2 linked regions of the Mus musculus genome follow. The protein of the gene in region 2 purifies or fractionates together with the protein of the main gene of each other region. This does not show direct contact. Links are inferred from orthologs where the notes say so. Each region holds a gene or a part of one and is shown on either strand. Other genes may lie near its edges. The genes, in order: Bbs4 and Bbs7.

Region 1 (3,826 bases), on a different chromosome or scaffold from region 2:
CAACAACAGCAACAACCAACAAATAGGAGATAAGAACTACATAACCCTAAAGTCTAAACCACTGTCTTGACCAGACATGGAGGCACACACCTTTAATCCCAACACTCAGAAGGCAAAGGCAGGTGGATCTCTGTGAGTTTGGCCTGTTAGCAAGTTCAAGGCCGACCAAAGATACAGAGGAAAACCTCATCTCAAAAAATTAAATTTAAAATAAACTACTATCTCATCCATAACAGAAAAAAAAATTTCTCAACCCCTAGTTAAAATCTAACTAGGCATGCTAGAAAAACATGAGAAAAGTTTCAAGCACCATGGCAGACGCTAGTGGTTCTCAGTAGAGAACAAATCACATGGGCTCTCTACTCTGACAGACTAGACCCAGGTACTTACTCTCAAAAGGCAGCATCTACAGCCATCCCAAGAGAATTAAGAAAGGCTTCCCAAAATGAAAAGCTTCAAACTGTGTGTTGGCAAGGGGTAGAAGAGGAGCTGAGGCAAATAAGAGGGTGGGAGAGAGGACAGAGTGTCATACTAAAGGGTTTGAGTACAATGAGAAAATCCCCACAGTAAGCAGGAAGGAACCTGCTCCTATTTGCTATATAGAAACACACAAAGAGACAAGATCATAGTCAAGGCTGGTAGATAAAATATTGTTTAGATTAAAATACTGATGTTTAAAGCAGGAAGCTATTAGCTGCCACACGGGGCTGTAGACACTGACAGTGTCTGTCTGCCCAGCCTGTCTCTCACCTTGCAAGCTTCATAATCCTTCCGGATATAGTGGAGATGGATCAGCCAGTTCTGTTTCTCCACAATAGGGAAGTCTGGAGCTAGAGAGCATATTTTGGCAAAACAAACAATACAGTAAGTGTTAAATTTTCTCCTTTAGCGGAGTTCTCATGTCTAAACCAACCACAAGCAATTACAATAGTGCATTAAATTCTTCATGGAATTTGGAAATGTATGGAAATATCTTGTTTTCCTAATTGTATTTACTTTGTGGCTCCCCATGTGTGGGTACACGTACTATAGCATACACAGAGGACAATGCGTGGGTACACGTACTATAGCATACACAGAGGACAATGCGTGGGTACACGTACTATAGCATACACAGAGGACAATGCGTGGGTACACGTACTATAGCATACACAGAGGACAATTTGAAGAAGCTGGTTCTCTCCTTCCACCATGTGGGTCCTAGGGATTGAAACTGGATCAGCAGACCCCAACACATACATTAAAAAAGAAGTTTTGAAACAAGTAAAAGAGGAAGCTGGGGATCTAGCTTAAGAGCACCTGCCTAGCATGTGCATAGTCTTAGGCTCAATCCCTAACACCACAAACATTTCAATTAAAATAAACAGCCCTATGGATGGCAGAACTAATGTCTTTTTGTTAACAATATTCCGGTATTTCTCTAATATCTGATGAGGAGGAGGACGTCCCATCCAAAGCCCTTGAGAATCCCCCAGTGACAGTCACAACCTGAAGTCAGTCCTCCTAAAGTGTCACAGGTTAGCAGATGGAGGATTCTTGTTCCTCTAAATCAACAACAATACATCACCTCTGAGACCAAAAATGTAGCACTTCACAGGCCGGGTCTTCACTAGGCTTCCAAGGATGAATTTTTATAAAACCGCACACTAGCCAAGCATGCAATATCCATAATCCCAGTAATTGGGAACTAAAGTATAGAAAGTGTCCCAAGTCAACAGCAATGGGTGCAGCCCATCTTAGAAATAAATATGCCATGTTTCCCTCTGGAAGCTCACAAAGCAAGGCCCTATCTCAAGGCAAAAATTTTTAAATAAAAAGTCAATGTGCCAGGCAGTGGTGGCACACACCTTTAATCCCAGCACTTGGGAGTCAGAGGCAGGCAGATTTCTGAGTTCGAGGCCAGCCTGGTCTACAGAGTGAGTTCCAGGACAGCCAGGGCTGTACAGAGAAACCCTGTCTTGAACCCCCCGCTCCCCAAAAAGTCAATGCAACACTTACTTAATATATACATAAAATTAGTGGAGGTTGTATAAGAAAGTAATGTTTATAACACAAATAGAAATTAATGAATACTGACATAATAACCAAAAACCATTTAAATACATTACAGGCCAATAAAATCTAATTAGATAAAATAAAAACTAGTCATTGTGTAAGAGCTGGGCCATGGGGCTGGAGAGATGGCTCAGTGGTTAAGAGCACTGACTGCTCTTTCAGAAGTCTTGAGTTCAATTCCCAGCAACCACATGGTGGCTCACAACCATCTGTAATGGGATACAGTGCCCTCTTCTGGTGTGTCTGAAGACAGTGACAGTGTATTCACATACATAAAATGAATAGATCTTTGAAAAATAAAAAGGAGAAAAAAGAGTTTGACCATTACTGGTTTTCCTAACATACTTTACAAAGCTCTGGTATGCATGAAACAGAAACAAACACAGATTCACACATGTGTATAGACACATATATAAAATAAAATTAAATACAGACCTTTTTTTGACCTAGGTTTTTGAGATTCAACAGATGCAGGAACCTGAGTTTTCTGAAATGAAAGAGGATGACTGTGTTAAAGCAGCACCATGTGCTAATTGCAAGCACATTCACATAACAAGAATGAGCAGTAACTCACCAGTCATGTATTCAATTCATAACATGAAGAAACATAAAGAGGCATTCTGAGTATGACTTATACCGCACTATTCTTTAGCTCTCCAACTTGCCCACAGTGCTTAATGCATAGTATATGTTTATTTATAAGTACCAAAATTACAATGTACAACATACACTCATATTAATATACTAAATTATGAAATACCTCATAAAGATGTTTAATGTTCTTCTTAGCAGCCAAATCAGAATGTTTTTTAACATTTGTATGTGTGTGTACATGCATATGTATGTACAGAGGGGACATCATTCAAGAATCTTTTGTCCCCTTCTGCAATGTGGGTTCCTCATGAGGACCTAACTCTTGTCAATCTTGGTAGCAAGCCCTTTTATCTTCCAAGCCACACCCCCAGCCATGGCCTCTGTTTGATAAAATGACAGTAGACAGTTCAGGCAGTAAAGAACCTGTGGGACAGGCTTGAAGACCCAAGTTCCAGGCACCGAGTAAAAACTGGGCACAGCATGTGTGTAATCTCGAGACAAGCACTGCTCATCATCACCAGCCTAGACAATCATTAGTTCCAGGTGCAGTCAGAGACACTGGCTAAAGAAATAAGGTGCAGAGCAATTGAGGAAGATGCTGGATATGAAGATATTGTACTAACTTAGCACTGCAACTTATTAGAAAATCTTTAAGTGGATTTTTCTTTTATCAGTTCCCTAATTTTATACATCATATACCACAATAAGGGCCAGTTGTGGTGGCACGTGCCATTAATCTTAGTACCCAGGAAGGCAGAGCCAGGAGGATATCAGAGTTGTTAACCTGATATATTTAGGACAGCCTTGCTATACAAGTGAGACTCTGTCTCAAAACAAAAACAAGAACAGCAAGACTATTTATATGCCTTAATATAAGGAGGGAAATATTGGTTGCAACATTTTCAGAAGCAATAAAAGAAAGTGTCTGAAAGATTTATTATTTTATGCATATAACTGTTTTGCCTGCATGTATATACACCAAGTATGTGCCTCATGCCCACAGATATCAGAAAAGGCATCAGATCTCCTGGAACTGGAGTCATGGATGTTTGTAAGCCATCACTGGGGTGCTGAGAATGGAACCTGGATCCTCTGCAAGAGCAACAAATGATTGTAACCACTGAGCCATCTCTCCAGCTACAAAACAAAAACTTTAATTTTAAAGGGTATACCCCAG
Region 2 (3,826 bases):
TGCACCCACATTCACATCTCCCTTTAGCTCTGACCCTCAGTAAGCTCTAGGCTCTTATGTCCAGTTTGGCACCTCCCTGTACACACGGGCATCCCACACTCTTCCATACCCAAGCACCGTTCACTTCTCTACTACAGTGTTTCAGGACTGCTCACTCTCCAGTTGGCCTCCATTCAGTCAATTACACCTCTCAGCTGTACAGACGAAACAACTCCAGGCTCTATCTCTGACATCACTCTTTTCTCTCTCTGTATCAAACCCATGCATGGCCTCCACATATATCCCGACTTTCTCTTCTTTCTACTTCCATAATAGGAAGGATGAACCAGGATGCTCTGAACTATAATAAACCATGGTAACTACAACAGCTTCCAAGCTCTTGATGTTTCTAATGTGTGTTTCTTCCCAGATCCATTTGACCATGTCAAACCTTCCACATACAATTCTCCCAGGACTACCCACTGCACTCTACCTGAAGTCCCCTCTTCCGAGGCTTTACGGACCTACAGTCCTTGTCCCTGCTCCTGCATCTTCTCCTCAGGCCACACTGCTGCTCAGCCACACAGGTCTTTCCATTGCCCTCCAATGAATCTAGCTCACCTCCATCTCAAGGGTTTTGCAATTATTCATTTTTCTTCCTCTTAGAATATTCTTTCCTCAAATCTCAGCTCAAATTTGCCTTTCCTCCAGCACCTTCTTCCTCTGACCACTGAGTCTACGAGGAGCTGTGCCCACCATCCCTCTACACACACTGTTTCTGTGTTCTCTTCAGATGACCAGGGGCAGTGAGAGCACAGCGCCAGCATCTGCGCTCTCGCCCACAGGAAGTACCTGCTAAAGGAAACCTGAACAGATGAGCAATAGCCTGTGCGTATAAAGAGACATCTCACTGGCTGCCAAGTTGGGTGTAAATCTTTGGAAATATATAATGTCTTTAAAAACTTGCAATAGTTTCTGACCCACTACTACATTCTTTATATCCTAGATTCCAATTAATTCTCTATCCCAGTTAAAAGGTTTAACATGGACTAAAGGGTATTAACCTGTATGTCTATCCCAAACTACAAGTAGCATTTCTAATTTTAAAAATTACATCTATAGTATAACAGTTGCCATAAGCAAACACTAGGTACATCAGAGGTGGTTCTGTAAATCCCTAAGCTCGCTGTCTAATAGAACTAAATCAAACAGAATGCATTGCACACTCTATTGTACTAAATGATTGCCGACATGCCATAACTTGACCTGTGCAGAGGCCTACCTCCCCGCTTTTTGTCATTTCGAATTTCCCATTTGTGTATTGGTTTGGATGTTGTGATCTGAATAAGCCCAAGTCTTCCATCTGATGTGCCGAACAGAAGTCCTTCTCCAGAGTCACCTAGTGAAAATTAAAGCAAACATACAACTACAAACAAAAACACAAATGCCTTTTAAAAGCCTCTTAATGTAAAAATCTCATTTTTCAAATGCTACATTAAGGGAAAATTTTAAAGGGGAAATATTAGGTATATATGTATCAAAACATCATGATACCATTCATATATAGTTTGGTTTTATGTATCCAAAAATAAACTTATAAAAATTAGAAAAAAAATTCCATATATGCCAGAATACCTTTTGGTTACACCTAATTTTTCTTTTCTTTTTTTTTTCTTTTATTTTTTTTAAAGTTCTTTTTTTTATTGGGTATTTATTTCATTTACATTTCCAATGCTATGCCAAAAGTCCCCCACACACTCCCCCACCCACTCCCACTTCTTGGCCCTGTCGTTCCCCTGTACTGAGGCATATAAAGTTTGTACAACCAATGGGCCTCTCTTTCAACTGATGGCCGACTAGGCCATCTTCTAATTCATATGCAGCTAGAGACACGAGCTCGGGGGGGGGGGCGGGTACTGGTTAGTTCATATTGTTGTTCCACCTATAGGATTGCAGACCCCTTCAGCTCCTTGGGTACTTTCTCTAGCTCCTCCATTGGGGGCCCTGTGATCCATCCAATAGCTGACTGTGAGCATCCACTTCTGTGTTTGCAAGGCCCCGGCATAGTCTCACAAGAGACAGCTCTATCTGGGTCCTTTCAGCAAAATCTTGCTAGTGTATGCAATGGTGTACACTTAATTTTTCTGAACTAAAATGACTTTATCTAGCATTTCTTCTTTCTAAGAAAGCTGGCCCTTAAGTTCTAACTCGAGACTATTATTATTCCTCTGCTTCGAGGTGGTGCCTATGGAATCCTAACGATATGACCTTCATGTCTATGCTCTCATTAAGACAACAATGTCTGTCATCAAAGAGAACCAAGCATGTTTCCCCTACACCGTGTAACTACTTTCTATGATTATAGATATTAGAATGAAATCGTCACCATGTAGTCACAAGGTGAAGCGTATTCCCTACAGGTGACTTCAAGATGAGGAAGCTCACTGACTCCTAATTCATAACTGAGCAGGAAGTGAGAGGAAGAGAGCACACTACTACTACACTGTGTAACAACTCCCCGCTTTGCATCATGGCCAGCTGTGATACTGAATGCGATTACCTCCATCTCCATTATGCAGTGCTAAGACGGTGGGTGGACCAGGAACCTCAATTTCATACATCACATCAGATCCCTGAAGGGAAACAAGAATTTTAAAAACTGAAACTGAAAAACATTTAAAAGAATATGGAAAATGATTAGAAACATCAATATCTAAACAAATAAAAATGCTTTAAGAAAACAGGTCATAAATATGAATGTGTTTGTCAATAATTTTGCATATATTAACACACTGGAAATAAAATATATATACCAAGGAGAAAAATACATAATATATTCTCTACTTTCAATAGCTTTCATTTTTTAACTTTGGATTTCATCAGTAAAAGAAAATCCATAATAGCCAGATCCAAGACCAGACAACTTAATGAACCCCTAGACAGAGGAGTGTTGACATTTCTAACATGTTTGCTTATCTGCAAACCACAGACTAGTGAACCCCTTTTAAAACTCACCAGTAACAAGCGTCATTACCAGTAACAAGTGTCATTTCTTCTGTCTTTTCCGTTATTATCTGGAGCTTTACATAGAATACCCTCAAAACTCTGAGCACCCCAAGCTGCTCGTAAGAAAACTCTGGCTCGGCCTTCTGGCATTCTGCAGACTCACCGCAGCACAGGGACAAACTTGCCTACTACTTAGATAAGAAAACAAGCTGGGGCCGCCTTCTATGTGTTTTATTTGTTTGTTTTCAATTTTGCCACTTACATAATTCAGTGAATATACTATGCCACTTACAAAATTTTAATGTAGATTTAGAACTTGGGAAAAAGGCATATGTGTATCCTTTATTAATCATTTTTAAATTTATAGATATCTACAAGCAAAAAAGGAGCAGGCACAGTTGTAAAAGAGGCAAGTTCAGAGGATGGAGTGATCTCAGAGGCAGGAAAGGAGAGATAAGTGCAGCAGAAGGAAAGAGTTCAGTTCTCTCCTTTCACACGTCCTTGGTGATTGATTTTTAACAATAAGAATGCAGGCAGGCATGATAGCACACACCTTTGACCCCAGCACTTAGGAGGCAGAGACTTGTGGATTTCTGTGAGTTTGAAGCTATCCTGGTCTATAAAGTTCTGGTCCATACAGAAGCTACATGGTAATACCATGTCTAGAAAAAAATAAAACGATAAATAAGCAAATAAATAAATAAATAAATAAATAAATAAATAAATAAATAAATAAGAATACAGATAGCCTCTTATGAAACAAAGCAAAATCTAGAAATCAGCTAGGTAACTTCTATCTGGTTGCTTGCCCATTCCTACTTTGTATATTTTGCCACAGGAT

What was found.
Region 1: the proteins of Bbs7 (region 2) and Bbs4 purify together in Homo sapiens (co-immunoprecipitation; 7 studies listed by BioGRID and IntAct, counting the BioPlex papers as one, with this or other methods). This does not show direct contact. The link is inferred for Mus musculus from reciprocal best matches to the Homo sapiens genes BBS7 and BBS4.

The regions. Positions count from the first base shown.
Region 1 is NC_000075.6:59,343,310-59,347,135, forward strand, and holds part of Bbs4 (Bardet-Biedl syndrome 4 protein homolog), read right to left. Parts: intron 2,543-3,826; coding exon 2,491-2,542; intron 831-2,490; coding exon 751-830; intron 1-750.
Region 2 is NC_000069.6:36,603,145-36,606,970, forward strand, and holds part of Bbs7 (Bardet-Biedl syndrome 7 protein homolog), read right to left. Parts: intron 3,144-3,826; exon of another isoform or gene 2,995-3,143; intron 2,613-2,994; coding exon 2,540-2,612; intron 1,379-2,539; coding exon 1,262-1,378; intron 1-1,261.